3 linked regions of the Coturnix japonica genome follow. The protein of the gene in region 1 binds, or shares a complex with, the protein of each later gene. Links are inferred from orthologs where the notes say so. Each region holds a gene or a part of one and is shown in the gene's direction. Other genes may lie near its edges.

Region 1 (6,713 bases):
ATGTAACCAATTGCAGATATAATTGCATTCGTATCTTGTTTGGAATTTCAGTATCCCTCTTGGTAAGGAGTACAGTAGAGATGACAGCACATTTGCCCACCACTTTATTATTGCCCATGTTGAAATCTAACAGCTGTTGTGAACAGAACTGCCAACAGAGAGACTTTGAGGAAGACTCTGTGCCAGGAAATTGATGCTGAATGTTTCATTGCAGCTTAGCTGTCCTTCACTGTTGCAAGATCTACCAAGGTATAAACTTCTGAAAAGTTCAGTAAATAAATACTGCTGCAAACAGAGCCTTCTGGGTTCTTTCCAGGGTTCTCTTCAGGATGTTGTTTATTAATAATTATGATAATTAAAACAATTTATTGAGAATTATTTTGATCCTTTGGGGGCAGCTGGGGCAGGAGAAGGTTCTGCTAGTTCTCCTTGCTTTGGAATGCTGAGCGTAGGGCTTGACCCAACCTGTTGAGACTTCCAGGCCCGATCCATGTGAAATGTAAGAGTTGAAATACCCGTGTACGTGATTCTTGCTCCTTTGGAAGATTTTACAAAAGCTCATGCACAACGTTACTCAAATTGAAGTTGGCCCACGCGTTCTTGCTAGGAGAAAAGCAAGTGCCAAGACACTGTTAAAAAAGAAAAACGTTGCCAACCTATCTGCCTGGAACTGAACCAAGATCACCAAACTGAACAAGTACCAAATGGCAACTAAACTATCTCAGCCTGCTTCTGTCCTGAGCCTCATCTGAGCCCAGCTGTGACAAAATCCCTGAATCTATTTCCTACATTCTGTCTAGGCCCACGTACCCAATTCAGCAGGTTGGTTTTGTTGGTTTTAAAGCACCTGTCTCACAATTAGTTGTGCATCAGCTGTTTGTGTTAATATCCAAGTGGCCATACTTGCAACATGTTATTTCCTGGATAGTGGATTAGCAATAACACTTTATTTTGTGCCAATTTGTTATCTCTGAAGTGTTCTTACTGCAGCAAAGTTTGAGTTTTGATTTGGTTTTAATGCCTTTGCATTGACCAGAACTCTTAGCACAGACATGGACAAAAAATTGAATCCAGGGGGTTTCTCTGGATAAAAAATCTGCTAGGGCTTCCCAAGACATTTGAAGTTGGTATAGTTAGCCATCATTTTTAAAACAAAGATACGATTAAAAATGTGTGTGGGTATTTTTTTAACCTCCTTTTCATAACACTAGCATATTGTAAACTGCATGAAATAAATCTGTTTTTCCCTTTTAAAGTCTGATGTCTTAAATCTCTCTTTTCTAAATCCCCTAAGGTTGACCGTAACAGTCGCTGATACACCTGGTGTAGCACTTCATTTAAATACAGAATGTTTTATTTCTCTGTAGTCATTCAAAGCAGCAAATCCTTTTCTGTTTCCTCAAAGACTTGATTACAGAAAAAGCCGTGCTTATTTGGAAGTACATCCACTGGGAAATTAAGGTATTTTCCTTTGTGTTTATACAGTCACTGATCATTATAGCAGGAAATTGTCCCTTCTGGGATGGGTATATAACCAAGAAGAGTGTCAAGTTTTAATTAATGACTTTGTGTATATTTTCTTTCATTCACGGAGCTAACAAATCAACCTGCCTAACCTCACTGATTACTTTTTGAATCCAGTATGTAGATTTTTAATAGAAATACTTATATCTGAAAAATGAATCTGAAAGTGACACTTTGTAATAAGAAATGTAAATAAGCCAATTAATGAATTCTGGAATCTTAGGGGGGTACACCATTAAGAATGAGGTGAATTTCATCTTAATAGTTTTAATCAGTTTTAAATGCAAAGCATGTTTAAAGTTTTCCTTACATCTTCCATTAGTGATGGTCAGGATGCTTTCTGTACACAGCTCTTCTCCATCTCTCCTCCAGCATTTACTAGTTAAAAGGAATACAGTAACTAATGCCATAAGTATTTGTGCGTTAGGGTGAGAGAAGAAAGTTGGGCAGGAGGGCCCACAGAAAGAGAGACATCCTATTTTGCATCATTGTGCTGTGCAGTGGGGTAAAGCATGTATAGGAAAAGGAGATATTCATTCCAAGGGAAGACAATTCCTCTTGAATGAGAGAAGCTCAATGAAGATGGGGTGAGAATACGACAAGTGTTTTGAGGATCTGGTTTGTTTCTATTTTCTGAGACCAACCTGGGGAAGGTTCCTCCATCGTTTCTGTGGAGTTAAACCGAGATTAAATTGAAATGTGAGCGTGGATTGTTTAGAGAATAAATAAATCAAACCAGGGAAGGAGCTGCCGGAGCACTGGGCTCACCCTCCTGGTTAAACACGGGAGTGGCTGCACATTAGAACCCTCATTTAAGCTGCCTTTAAACCCTCAGCCCATGAAGGCTCCGCACCCATCCCTGCATCGCCGCCATAGTGTCTTTATCAGTAGAATTTGATAATTCCTGCCCTTGGTTTTTCACACAGAGCTTTGGCCTGATGACACCTTGCTTTGTGCTGTGTTATGGGTACTGACAGGAGATCATTGTTGTCCCATCAATATATAAGTGCTTATTTATGGCAATGCCTAATGATGGCAGAATGGAGGGGAAGATAAGCCATGGTTGGTATTAAGGCGCTATATACGGTGCAGTTCAATGGACAGACCATGGCCGGATGCTGCTCAGAGGTTTAAAGACCCGACATGTTTCGTTACATTAAACGTGAATGTTCCAAACAAACCCACAGCGACACGAACCCCCTGCAGGCGGGATGGCCCCGCCCCCTCCTGGCTCTGCCCAATGACAGCTCAGGGTCGACTCCCCATCCTCCAATCAGAGACGCGGGTGGTGGCGGTGGGCGGGTCCTATCGAGCTGAGGCGCAGTGGCCGGCCCCGCCGTGTTCTCGGGCCGGTTGTCGGGCACGGCTGACTCCACAGCGCCTGAGGTAAAAGTTCCGCCCGTGTTTCCGTGGCGGCTCGTCGTTGTGCCGGGCCGTGCTCGGATCCGCTCCGCCTCGTGTCGTTCCCCGCTCAGGCGCTGTCGGGCCGCCCGCAGGTCCTGCCGAACCGCGCCTGCGCAGCGGGACGGACGGGTCGGGCCGAGGGACACACGGCGATAAAGCGAACGGCACCGAGAGAGGGAGGGGGAGAGAGGAAGGGAGAGGGAGGGAAACTCCGGAGCAGAGACAAAGGGGGGGAGCGGAGCCGGGAACATCCGGGTCATTCGCCGCTGCCTCAATCCGGGACACACGCGGGTGCTGCGGCCGAGCACGGTGAGGCCTGGCCGGGAGCGGGGCCTGGGGCGGCGGGGCCCGGCCCGGTGCGGCCCGGCCCGGTGCGGCCTGGTCCGGTGCCTCGCGTTGCGGCGGTTCGCGGGCACGGCGGTTCCCGGCGGTTCCCGGTCGGCGCGGCCGGGCCTGACGGCGTCTGGCTGCCCAACTCGGGACGGCTCCGCTCTGTCCCTGCGCCGCGGCCCGCTCAGCTCTCGGCCGCCTACGGGGCGCACTCGGCGGCTGAGCTGCGTGCGCCGACCGGCTGCGCCCAGCGCTCCCCGCCCCGCCAATAGCTCGCCCGGCACACACAGGCCTCGGCCGCTCCGCGGGGCTCGCGAGACCAACGGCGGCGGCGGCGGCCGGGACAGCGCTGCGCCGCTCCGTGCTGGGCCGCCCCGCGGTTCCTTTTGTTGTTCTCGGAACTACCGTGCGGGTCGGTGCCGCCTGAGCCGCTTATTGCGCTGCAGACTTTGTGCGGCAGTTTTAGGCGCTGCGATTTGGTTCCACCTCAACCATTGAGTTTCTCTGACTGGAAAGGAAAGGAAAGGAAAGGAAAGGAAAGGAAAGGAAAGGAAAGGAAAGGAAAGGAAAGGAAAGGAAAGGAAAGGAAAGCTGCCCCGGCAAACAGCGCAGGTTTAACGATCCTTACAGCGTCTGCTTCTGATTCGTAATGTAATCGGTCTTAACGATTTGATTCATGTATTGATTTTTGAATGAATGGAGAATGAAGGAGCACGTTGTGTATATACAGATTTGTAATGGGGCAGGGATGCAGGCGCGGTGATCACTGTGCTATGGGAGCACTGTGCTGTGCTGGGGCTGCTGGATGGATGGCACAGCAGTGTGGGCTGGGTTTGGTCCCAGTGCAGGTAGTGCCAGCAACAGAGCTGAGCTACCAGCACTCTGGGAAGTTTCTAGTGAGTTGGTAGTGATAAATGGGCCGTTGGTACCTCCTGGTGCTGGTGTGTGCAGGAGGGAATAGTGCTAAATTGAATGGGAGGACAGAGATGGATTTTCTCCAGCTTAGAACTTGGTGTTCTTTCTAATGATGGACCTCTCCCATACAGTAAGTTGGGACTTAATTGTGTTCATTCAGTCACCTTCTCAGGTGAGGGAAGGAAAGTCAATGGGATGCAATATCTGAAACAAGTGTAAAAAAAAAATCCATAAACCAAGTGTTTAAAATCTGTTCCGTGGTGGCCGTTGTTCACCCTCCTGGAGTCACATGGGAGAACTGTGCAACTTTGAGATCAAAAACCTGTAGGAAAACTGCACCTCCCTCCCCCCAAAAAAATCTGGATTTCTGGTAAGGTGAAAATGAAGTTTGGATAGGGTTGGTTTGCTGGCTCAGTGCAGTCAGTCCATCTGCTGCACTCTGCCTGAAGATGATAATTGCAGTTATTTAAGTCCTGCCTGAGACATTGGAACCGGAGTCTTGCAGAAGAGGGAGAGCAAATACAGGCATTAGTTCAAGCTCAGACGGGGCTGAGCTGTTCTGTCCCAGTTGTGTTCAACATTACTAAATAATGAGGTGAAGTTTGACTATTGCTTGACATAATGAAAAACAAAAGTTCAAACCAAGAGCCACTAAACTTCATGTAGTTGTGGTAAGTTAAAAGTATCAGCTAATGATCAGCTAATGATTACTAATACATAAAACAGTGTAATAGAACTGATTTCTTCAAGGTGTTTAGGAGTCTCACTCTGGTTAGATGTGCCAGAAGTGACTGCTGTTAAATCCCTGGCAAGTATCAGTGTTTATCGGATTTCCATTACGTGGCCTTAATATTCAGGGGACTGGAATGGCAAATATTAAGTAGACTAAATATACGTACCTGGCAGCTAATTTGAGAATACAAATGCTTATCTCTTGGTCAGGGCTATCTTGATATCTCCTTGTTAATCATGATTGTAAAGTGTTCGGATTTGGTCTCCAGGTGCTAAAAGCACAGCTGAAATTCTGTCACATGTTCGTTGGTTAATTAAAATCTCTAGGAGGGGTGTGAGCTCATGGAATAAAATTCCTCCCCTTATAGTTTTGTTCTGGTTTCTCTTGGGATGCTCTGCTTCTCTTGCTGGACAGTTGGCTGAAAGCTGAAGTGTTATCTATGGTTCTGGTGTGAAGTCCTGCAAGTGTTCTTACATAACCAGGACACTGGTGTATGTATTGGGAACATGAGAATGAGTGCAGGCTTCTTTTGTGTGTGTTTACTGCACAGAGCATTAATGGTGCCTTCTAAAAAGCTTTAACTCTAGTTACGTTCTAGCAGGGATTGTACTATTGAAATGATGGACTGTGGATGTGCAGGCTGATCTGACTTAGGGAAAAAGAAGGGAGAGGAGAGAAGGAAGAAGGGTTTTTAAGGACGCTTAGTTAAGGTGTCTGTACTGTGGGGCCACTTCTGATGGGTTAATATGTAAATGGAGAGCCTGATGTCTTCTGATCTTCTGAGAGTACGGCAGATAGGCACGAGTAATCAAGAGTGAGATTGTAAAACAAGGGCTTTTTTGAGCTAGAGCTGGTATGGTCGGGTAGTTTATGTATAGAGTTATGTATAGAGTTTATGTATATGTATTAATCCTTAATGATTATGTAAATGTTTGCTGTAATAGAGTGATAATATTTCTTTCACTCATTCTGTAAGCTTATTTAGGAGCGAGATACTGCTCTGGTGGCTGTATGAAGTAGTTAGGATGACTGTTCTGAACTCACAGCTACCAAGTTTTAGTTCTTGTTTGAACGGGTAGAAGTGCAGTGGGGAGGAGGATTAAAGATCTTTGCTGGAGGTTTCTGACCACTAATGGAATGATATGGTTAATGAGATGGTGAGTTTAGTACAGTTTGAGCATGAAAAATAAGGTCTCACTTCAGCTGCTCTTGTGGTTGAGTGGAGGATCCTCCCCTGATTCTGGGAGGGAATTTGTGTCTAGAATTGTTCTCGTGTTGTCACATCTTGGTCGCTGTACTTGGCTGATACTTAAGACAGTGAAGATCCTGGAAGATTGCTCAGTTTATATGGGTATTAAAGATCTGTCTTGTAGGATGAGTGGGCTGCTCACTGACTTCCTCAGTTAATTTCTGTCTCTTCTTTTGGCATGACATCAGAATCACTCCAGTTTGCTAAATCCTGTGCCCTTGTTGCTTTTGTGTAGAACCCTGGATTTTAGCAGGGACTTGGTCTATTAGTGGTGTTTCTTATTCTCATGTTGGCCAGAAATGGGAGCAGTGCAGGCGTTTGCCTTCAGAGGAGAGCGGTACCTTTCATGATGTCACAGAGAACTGGATATGCCTTTGTCAGTCTCAAGCAGGAAATCTGAGCCTTTCCTCCTGTCAGTGATAGTGTTACTGCTATCAAGATACTTGGAAAATTATTTTGACAGTGTGGTTCAAATATGAAATACACAGTGGGTACATGTAAAACTGGGTTAAGTCCAGTACCTGGGATGTAGTTGATGTGGGGTAACTTTATGACATT
Region 2 (4,441 bases), on another chromosome or scaffold:
TGTCCTTCAACTCCTCCCTGCCTGAGCACAGTTATCACCTGCTGAGGCAGTGCCCCTTCCTAAAATGGAGGCTCTACTCTATGAGGTGTGTGCTTAGGGAAGATAGGTTGGTCCTGAACATGAGGAGAGTGCTCTGGAGCACTGCAGGAACCAGCTGTGAGGCACATGCTATCCCTTGGCTGTGGGAGGAGCGGAGCTTGGTGGCCTCCCATGTCCCCAGGTACAGAAGAGCTGCTCTTCAGACCCGTTTGGAGGGTGTCCCAGCAGCCACAGAGGAAAACCATGTTGCTGAGCCTGCAAGACAGCCCTCATTGGAGAGGCAGCACCTACCTCTACAGCACCCACTGCAGAGGACAGGGGGGATGTTCCCGCTGTGTAGCAGTTGCAGACCTGTCCTTATCCCACAGCCACTCTGACAAGAGACATGGAGGACAGACAGGCAGTGAGAGGTCCCATGAAGAAGTGAGATTCAGCAGTTGTGCCTACCCAATGTGGCTTCCTCATGGAGCAACTCCACAGGTTTCCATCTCTGTCTGCATTAGATGTGTACACATACCTGGATTGAGCTCACATGCTGTGCTCCCTTAGTGAAGATGACCTGCGGGAAGGATCCTCTTGTATCAAAGCACATTCACTCCCAGCACTCACCAAGCCAGGAGCAGGTGCTGCAGGGGGCCCACAGGAGTGCCTGGACACCTTTGGCTACTGCAGGCCAGGTTGTCTAGGAGAAGCACCGTGCAGGTAGGTGGCTTTGGTAACCTGAGCATGTTGGAAGACTTGTGCCAGATGAACAGCTTTGCAGGATGGAGGAGTTGATGACTGTGTGATGGCACCAGAGCCAGGCACCTTTGGCATTGTGCTGCTGGGGGCAGCGAGTGGCTTTAATTAACTGAAGTGATGTGTCTTGTGTGTGTTTGTCCAGTATGGGGCTGAGCAGACTGCAGCAGAGCAGTGAGCAGGTGCACAGTGGGTTGTCCTTGCAGTGAGTGTGCGGGAGGCTGTATATACACACACACGCATAGTGCAGCCCCTCGTCTCTCCAGTGAAGGCCACTGCTTGCATCTAGCAGGGAAGCAGTTCCCAGTGGATGTGCCACCTCTGCTGGGTACAGCAATGCCTTTTGCACCCAATTTACGTCATCTCTTGCAGCGTGTGATGCAGAGGGTCAGGAAGGAGAAGGGATAACCATGAAACCTGACAAGCTTCCAGCTGCCCAATGTATGTTCCCTGCGAGGGGTCAGTGGTCAAGGGTTTTCCCTTGAGGAGAAGGGGGATGTAAGTCAGTTTGGCTCCATGGGGGCTGGGTGGCTGTGGGTAGATGGCCATGAATCCTGAGCACTGTTGGCTGAAGGCTGTCCATGCTTTCACCCTGTGAAGCGAGCTTGGAAGGCAACGTGCAGCTCAGCCCATGGAACAGAGACTCTTGCTCCTGGCTCCTGCTGTGGTGTTTGGCTCTCAGACCTCTTAGGAAGAGCTGTGGCTGCTGTTCCTCCTGTTGCAGTGACAGTAGGGCAGGGTGAATGATTGCCAGCCAACAGTTGGCAGAAACCCTCCCATGAAGCAGCAGGCACAGGCTGAAGTGTTTTTATCCTGTACTGCCCTGTTCTGGCACAGCAGGGACCAAGCCCAGCAATGGTCCCATTGTGCCAAAGCTCAGGATGTCCCTAGCAGTGGTGGAATAGCAAAACCAGAGCAGCCGGTGGGCTCACCAAGTGGCAGAATAAACCCAGAGTTTTTGCTCGTGAATTGCCAAGCAATTTCAGCATCTCATTGCCTCTATTGCTCTGCAGCAGGAGCAGAGCGAGTTGTTGGCCTAGACTTGGAGTCAAACAGAATGTGTGTCAATGGAATTGATGGCTGTGACCCCAGGAACACTGGCAGTGAGAGGACCAAGCCAGTGGGGGCTGTTATATGCTAGGGCACCTGTGTCCCAGGAGCGCTGCCTCTGCCTGTTCTGGGACAGGATGCCTCTTTCTGTGTCTGAAGCATCTGTGCATATACCACCTTGGTATCTATCTTCGTGTCTTGGGGTCAGAGCTCCCCAAGCATTGCAAATGGCCTGGATGTATGATTGACATTTTCTTGGGGGGGAAGAGCAACCGTTTCCTTCTCTACTCTGTGAATCTGCTGTTACTATGCGTGTGCCCAGGTAAGTGTGCATCCAGGCAGAGGCTGTCTGGAGCGCCAGGTTCCTAGGAGTCTTCCCAGCTGCTGTTGCAGGGCTGTGTTTATTCTGTCTGTCTGTGTGCCTTGCAGGCTCTGAAAAGGAAGCCAGACCTCTTCCTGTGTAGCAACCTGGATGTCAAGGCAGTGTTTCAGTGTGGTGAGTACTGTGGGAACATGGTACACGCTGGCACCTGCTCCCCAACCTTGTGTGGAGTCCAGCCTGCTGCTCCTGCAGCTCTGAATGGAGCAGCCAGGGACTGGGGACTGTGGTGCTGGTTTGGGATGGTGTCTGAAAGCTCTGGCCGCTCACCTGAGTGCTTTGTGTCTGCAGGTGTCCTCTCCCTCAAGTTCCCTGAAGCCCCAACAGTGAAAGCATCCTGTGGCTTCTTTGTGAGTATCACGGCTTCCGCAGATGCGTTGGAACTGCATATCATAGGGATGCACAGAGGGGCTGCAGCCCACCAAGCAGAGCAGGAACGGGGCTGTGAGTTGCACAGGGGAGCAGCTGTGCGGTGCCTTGGCACTGACTGGGTTGGATGCTGTGTTGCAGACAGAGCTGCTGCCACGCTGCGGGGAGATCGCCCCAGTGGGACAGGTGGTGCATGAGAATGGCAAAGTGCTGCTGCAGGCGGTACTGGAGGTGAGTGGTGCTGGCATGGGTGGGTACATTGGAGTGATGCTGGGGCATCAAACACTAAGCTCAGCTCAGCCTCTTGCAGTGTAGTTCATCAGGATCTGTCTGCTCTGTACAGGGTGTCGGTGGCCAGGCTTCCCGCAGCCTCATGGATCACTTTGCAGAAATCCTCTTTGCCTTGAACAAGCATTGCTTCAGCTACCTAAGCATCTGGATCAAGGAGGCCATGCAGCAGGATGGTTTCCCTTCAGCCCGTGTCAGCCCCGAGCAGAAAGAGACCTTCAGCCAGCAGATCCTTAGGTTGGTGTCCCCAGTGCTGTGCTGCAGCAGCTGTATCCTACGCTGCTGTCCTTCCTGCTTGACTCACATCTGTCCCCTCCCTCTGTGTTAGCAGAGAGCGTGTGAACAAGCGGCGAGTGAAGGAGATGGTGAAGGAATTCACGCTGCTGTGCCGAGGGCTGCATGGCACAGAGTACACAGCAGACTACTGAGCACCCAACCAGGAATGCGGATGGTTTGCCTGGACCAGCTCTTCCCCACCAGGAAGCCCCCCGTCTTCCCTGCCCTGCTGCTGCAGTACAGCTCGTAGAATAACCCTCCACCTAGAATTAACCTACTCGGGACGCTCCTCAGCTAGACTTGGTGGCCGCATCTTGGTGTCAGCATCTTTGTTCCCCCAGCATGCTCCCCCCTCACAGGGGATGGGAATGCCGGCTGCAGGAGGTGGGGAGGGGGGGCCCAGAACAGGACCGCCCCAGCACAGACTGCCCTTTGCTGCACCGCAGCCAGGCTGCCCACTCTTCCCCAGCACGGCCCTGCAGAGGGGAGGCTGCACGGCAGGGACTGGCTGGGCAGGTGGGCTCGCCCCCTGCTCATTTGTATGTGTTGAGGTTGGGAGGGGGGAGGCCCCACACCTAATTATATTAAGGATATTTCTATGCTGTGGCTGTCATCGCTGTTGTTACCTGCACTTGGGAAAGAGCCAAGGTGAGGGTGTGGGGTGGTTACATAAAGGTTGATGTGCCTCACAGGCTCCTGTTCCCCTCTGGCTGGGGCAGGAATGGGAAAAAACTAGGGATCTCTAGTGTGTGTTGTACTCTGCTGTCCATCATGGATTATGCTCCTGCAGGGGGGACTGCATCCCCTCCACAGGTTGAGGGTCTTCTGGCAGCACAGAGGATGTGTGTGCACATCCTCATAATAGCAAGGGAGGGCTTGTTCACGTGCAGAGCCTCTGCCCATCTTAGTTTCCTGTTCTCCTAGGCTGGCTTTGGCCAACATGTAAGACTACAATCCCAAGGTGAGCCCTGTGATATGTTTTTGCTCTGGAACACCAGCTATTGCCTCTGTAGATACTCTTCAGCCCGCGCTTTATTCTAGAAGACAGTTCACTTCCAACTCCTCAGTTCAGCTTTAGTTAAAACCAGTAACTTATACAAGCCCCCAGTACCAGTGTTGTCAGCTCACAAGAAGCTCTGACCTTTCTTTATAGGGACAGAGTTCATCCTGCCCAGGGAAGGTGCAGAGCCTTTGTCAGCTAGAGTTGGACCAGGCTCCTTGTCCTGACCCTGCTGCTTGTCCTGGCTGTGAGCACAGGGGTGCAGTGGGCATCCCCAAAAACCCATATACCTCCTCCTGTCC
Region 3 (4,932 bases), on another chromosome or scaffold:
ACCACCCCAGGGAGCCTGCTCCAGTGCTTCCCAATGGTCCTTCTTATGTTCTTCGTGCTGTTCCTTCCATCATTAACTTCTCACATGCAGACAGGTAGCGTACTGTAGTAGTATGCTACTATTTTCATGTATGGAGGAAGAAATAAGATACCTTGAAGTGTGAATTTATTATGATGAGTATAACTGGCATTGTATTGTCTAGTGAAAATAAGTGTTGGACTTCAATATAATTTTTTTTTTTAAATGTTTTTCCTGCAGGAAGCAAAGCCTTCAGCTGAGGACTTAGGAGATAAGAAAGAGGGGGAATACATTAAACTCAAAGTCATTGGGCAGGTGAGTTTTTACGTAATGGCTATTTGGGAGACACTGTGAATTTTTTAAATATTGTAATGAATGGGAGAGAAGCTGATGTGTTAAGTTCTTCAATGCGAGTCTTTGACCAATTGCCAGCAATGTGTGTTAGCATGCTCTTACATTTGGGTCTTTGGAGTTCATGTATGGCAAACATGGGATCAACCCTACTGGTTAAGAGTAGGAAGAGGATTCTGTTGATTGACTTGTTGGTAATGGGTGATGGATTGTAAGTCTGAATTTGTATTGTTTAAATAGATATCTAAACTCTTCCAGAACAGAAGAATTCCACATTAGTTCATTTGATTTAACTTGTTGTTGGTTGGAGTATTAGTACAGTTACTGTTTACCAGAGACATGATTTTAACTGGTGCTGGTGTAAACTCAAGTCTTGCTGGTTTAATCAGCTATAATGAGAACACACTCGAAAGCTGTGTGTTTGCACAGAACATTTCGTGGTCTGCTTTATCTGTAGCCATTTTGACAAATGCAATGATTTGTACCTTATTGCTTGTAGGAAGAACTGCAGAATATTGAGAGCTGAGATTTTGCTTTAGGTTGATGTTATGTTGCCAAGTTAGCCTGTATCCTAAGCTCCAGATAGTTGCTCTATTTGAACAAGGTTTTGCATATATTTTGAAATACAAGCTTTAACTTGTCTCGTGGAATCTTAGAGCAGAAGTCCCCTGCATATGTATGTTTGTATTTTGTAAGTATGTCAGCTGGTAAAAGATGGAGTACAGACTGAGCTGAGTATGGTATTTAATACTTCTAAATCCAAAAATGTCCGTGGCGAGCTGAAGGCTGTATTGTGCCATCTGTTTCAAAGCAGGGCTTCCTGCGAAAGTGATGAATGTAAGTGCATAACATGAACCTCTAAGATGGTTTAGCAGTCACTAAATTATGCCCAGTGATAATTAAATAGTGTTCTGTGCTACTTTTTTTGTAAGACTTTTTTAATGAATCTTTTAAAATGAGCATAGAGAAAGTAAGCAGTTGCCGAATTAATATTTTTTTCTTTTCTATTCATAGGACAGCAGTGAAATTCACTTCAAGGTGAAAATGACAACACACCTCAAGAAACTCAAAGAATCATACTGTCAAAGACAGGTTTGTGAAACCATGACACTGAATGTACAGTGGCTGTTCAGAAGGTGTAGAAGTAATCTTTTAAAATGTCCAGGTTTACATTTGAAATTACTGTAAAATCTTCTGGATCCTTTTGAAATTTCCTTGAAATAGAATACTGCAGCTTGGGATGAGGGCAGCCTTATATGTTGTTACTGTCATAAGTATGATAATACATTTGCATGAGCTATTATACCCTAACCTAAAGAAATATGCAGTATCAGTGCTTGATACAGGTAAATAGTGACCGCTCTTCCAGGACAGGAAATATGTGTTCACTTACAGGTTCTATGGCAGATACTGTGGATTCAGTGATGCTATTCTTAGCGGCCCTGGTCTACTTCACTCCTAGCTTTGGGGACAGATGCCTTATGTGGCCTTTTCTTGAGCAATTGCACTGAAGTTCAATTCAGTAAATAAAACTATTAAAAAAAAAAACCAAAAAAACCCCAACTTTTTATTTTAGTGCTAAGTTTGATTTGCATCAAAGTATGGTAAGTTCTGTAGAAATACCTCTTTCATACTATGACACATTAGATTTTCTGTGCCTTTGTACAGTAATGTTGCTATATGGCCTGCTATCCTACTAGAGAAGGAGATAAAAGGTTAAATGACAGATATCCTTGCAACCCAAACTAAAAAGTGACTAAAATTGGGATTCATCAGAAAACTAAAAGGCAGATGCTGGCATTCATTCATGCAGTTAGTCGTATTCACTGTTAGAAATGTGTATGTGCAGATTTTTTTTCCAAGAAATATATGTTTTGGTAGGCAGAACTACATCTTTCTCCTGGCTGATTTCTAGAGAGTCCCAGTTCCTTCATTTGTTATCAACACTGCTTTTGGTGTCAAGTAAGCAACATTTCTGAGATGTAAATGATGCACTAAACGGGTCATATTTCACTTGCACTTTGCTGATAATGGATATGAAAGAAGAGGAAAAGGTTAGGTGTTTGTCTTAGCTGCAAAGGTGAAGTGTGGTATTAAGCTTTAACGTAGGAATGCTGTACACTAGATGTACTGTGATCTTATTTTATTAGCTCTTGGGTGCTCTTTTCTCTGCTCCCTCTCCTTCACAGCGTAGGGCTTTTGCAGAGCTTGTATCTGTAGAGGATACCATTCTTTATTGCAGTGTTATAAGATTGTGGAAGCAAGTGTAGGAGTTTGTGAAGTACACATATTCTGTATGTTATGGTAGTCTTTAAAAAGGCTGATAAATGGTTTAGAAGAAGGCTGCACCCTCCTGTAATGCCTTGGGAGTGCATAGTTGGTACTTTAGAGGAGTTGGGGAGGGGAGATGCTAAGAAAATTTCCCAGTTCTTGATCCCGAAGAACTTTACTGTAACTTTGGAAGAATGATGCAGTTCAGCACTATTGCTCTCCTTGAGACACTTGGTAGTTTACATGGGAGCAGCAGGATAGCTGAGCTCTCTGTGTAACAAGAACCTACGCTTTCCTTTTTAACTTATATGTGCACTGTTTTTATTAAAAATGTGTTTCTTGTAAATGTTTGCATCTTGGTTGAGGTTTTTTTGTGCTTTTTTTTTTTTTTTTTTTTTTTTAAGGGTGTTCCAATGAACTCACTCAGGTTTCTCTTCGAGGGTCAGAGGATTACTGATAATCATACCCCCAAGGAGGTAAGTTTCTTTTCAGAGAGTGTTGCATACAGCATTCAGTAGAGAAAATAATTACAAAATGTGTTAGTTTATCTGTTCTGCTATATTAACCTGATTTGATTCTTTAAATGTAGCCCATCTGTCAATACATCTCTGACTAATTGTAGTCTGATTATACTTGTATGACTGAAGTATTCAATAAGGTTGCTACATAGGTCAGAAAAAAGACTAATTGGACCTTCGCATATAGTGGAAAAAAGTCTGAGGGAACTGATCAGTTGTTGTTCTAGATCTTCAGCTTGAATTTGAAGTAAACATGTATTTTGTTCACATTTATTAGATGAAAGTGTAAATAAACAGCAAACAGATTACTTTTGCTATCTGGTGACTTCCACCAATTGTTACGAAGAAAGGAACAGGAAGAAATACTGAAATACTGAGTTATAATGATGACCTTCTGAAAAAAAATCAAACTTCTTGAATTCCACAATGAACAAGTTACTTTGTTTGAGACAACAGCTGTGAACAGGCTTTGAGTTGCAAGCTGTAGGTCTTAGCTGTATCATGCTTAGCAGCATGCAGTATATCATCCATGCGGCTATACAGCGGGTGCATTCACAGTGTTGGTAGTTACATTCCTGTGCATCCATTGCCCAAGAAGTTTAGAGGAAAGTAAAGCTAGTATTTTTCAAGCTGATGTGTGCTGCTTCACAAGTGAATTTGGACTTCACAGATAAGATTATTGCTTTGACTGAGAAGATGTGCTGAAATGTATATGATGGAAGAAAAAATACTTAAGAGCATGAGTGTTGGCTAGTGAGGTATTAAGTGAAAAATTTTTCACCTCTTTGTCCTTTGAAAAATGATGAGGCAGAAGAACAAAGCATCAGATAGCTTTTCTAGGACCTGCTCTGAATTCGGTGCACCAGATTTGTAACAATTGTGCTGTTTTTTTTTTTCTCTGTTCTAACAGCTGGGGATGGAGGAGGAAGATGTGATTGAAGTTTATCAGGAACAGACGGGGGGTCACTCAACAGTTTAGATCCTTCTGTTTGTTTTATTTCCCCTTAATCCTTTTTTATTTTTAAATAATAGTTCTTTTGTAATGTGGTGTTCAACACTGAATTGAAACTGGCACCCCATCTCTGGGAGTTTATTTTCGAGCGTCTGGTATTTTAAATTCTCGTGCTCATTATACACTATTGTTTCTGTTTTCATTGTGCTGAACTTCTGTGATCCAGCTGCAGCCCTGCTCTCCTTTTCCCTTCCGCCCTCCCCTTTAGAAATACATATACACACATGCATTTGTATGTTCACTAAGTTCGTGCATTTCAGGCACGAAGGTTGTAAGATCTGCCAGGTGGGCGAGTGTTCTTAATGACTTCCATATCTGCCCTGAAGTTTTGATGTGTGACTGTTTCACTCCTGGACTATAACTTTCAGTGCGAGATGAAGTTTTTCAGAACTAAACTGTGGAGAAATCATGTATCCGTAACTCAGAGCTATTTTACTTAAATTGTGCTGATGGCCCGACGAAGAAGACCAGAGTTGGAAACGAAAAAATCTAGAACCGTTGTCATCTGTACCTTGCTCCAGAGATGGCTTTGCTGAAGACATAGAATTGAAAACCCTAATGATTCTTAAATCTTGCCAGAAGAGCCCAGAAGCATTTTAACTTCATATAGCAATTAGTACACGCAGGTATTCATGCAAGAATGTTCACAGCAGGCAACTGGTGTTACTTTGACACTCTTGTTTGTACCTTTTGGCCTGGGACATGGGTTTTGAATGGACATTGTCTGTACCAGCTTCATTTAAAATAAACAAGAAAAACGAT

The links.
Region 2: the proteins of UBE2I (region 1) and IPO13 are in contact, whole or in part, in a crystal structure (PDB 2XWU), measured with the Homo sapiens proteins. The link is inferred for Coturnix japonica from reciprocal best matches to the Homo sapiens genes UBE2I and IPO13. Residues at the interface, in NP_003336.1 of Homo sapiens: Arg13, Lys14, Arg17, Lys18, Asp19, His20, Pro21, Phe22, Val25, Val27, Lys59, Glu99, Asp100, Lys101, Asp102, Arg104, Lys110, Gln111, Leu114, Ile125, Gln126, Pro128, Ala131, Tyr134, Thr135, Cys138, Gln139, Ser158; in NP_055467.3 of Homo sapiens: Leu33, Tyr34, Tyr35, Asp36, Pro37, Ile39, Lys42, Gln46, Glu73, Tyr76, Gln178, Thr179, Arg181, Gln231, Glu261, Val264, Asn265, Met302, Glu303, His306, Arg310, Val313, Glu317, Asn318, Thr355, Ser358, Leu359, Leu361, Thr362, Ser413.
Region 3: the proteins of UBE2I (region 1) and SUMO1 are in contact, whole or in part, in a cryo-EM structure (PDB 9B62), measured with the Homo sapiens proteins. The link is inferred for Coturnix japonica from reciprocal best matches to the Homo sapiens genes UBE2I and SUMO1. Residues at the interface, in NP_003336.1 of Homo sapiens: Asp19, Lys48, Asn85, Cys93, Leu94, Ser95, Arg104, Lys110, Gln111, Leu114, Gly115, Glu118, Leu119, Glu122, Asn124, Asp127, Pro128, Ala129; in NP_001005781.1 of Homo sapiens: Gln29, Asp30, Ser31, Gln55, Gly56, Val57, Arg63, Tyr91, Gln92, Glu93, Thr95, Gly96, Gly97.

Annotation. Positions count from the first base shown.
Region 1 is NC_029529.1:7,277,278-7,283,990, forward strand, and holds the start of UBE2I (SUMO-conjugating enzyme UBC9), read left to right. Parts: upstream 1-2,794; 5' UTR 2,795-2,910; intron 2,911-3,103; exon of another isoform or gene 3,104-3,237; intron 3,238-3,631; exon of another isoform or gene 3,632-3,909; intron 3,910-6,713. UniProt on the Homo sapiens protein: Accepts the ubiquitin-like proteins SUMO1, SUMO2, SUMO3, SUMO4 and SUMO1P1/SUMO5 from the UBLE1A-UBLE1B E1 complex and catalyzes their covalent attachment to other proteins with the help of an E3 ligase such as RANBP2, CBX4 and ZNF451.
Region 2 is NC_029523.1:18,001,898-18,006,338, forward strand, and holds the end of IPO13 (importin-13), read left to right. Parts: intron 1-2,256; coding exon 2,257-2,323; intron 2,324-2,497; coding exon 2,498-2,556; intron 2,557-2,716; coding exon 2,717-2,806; intron 2,807-2,918; coding exon 2,919-3,100; intron 3,101-3,194; coding exon 3,195-3,291; 3' UTR 3,292-3,896; downstream 3,897-4,441. UniProt on the Homo sapiens protein: Functions in nuclear protein import as nuclear transport receptor. Serves as receptor for nuclear localization signals (NLS) in cargo substrates.
Region 3 is NC_029522.1:10,239,595-10,244,526, reverse strand, and holds part of SUMO1 (small ubiquitin-related modifier 1), read left to right. Parts: intron 1-258; coding exon 259-333; intron 334-1,383; coding exon 1,384-1,461; intron 1,462-3,044; coding exon 3,045-3,116; intron 3,117-4,068; coding exon 4,069-4,137; 3' UTR 4,138-4,932. UniProt on the Homo sapiens protein: Ubiquitin-like protein that can be covalently attached to proteins as a monomer or a lysine-linked polymer.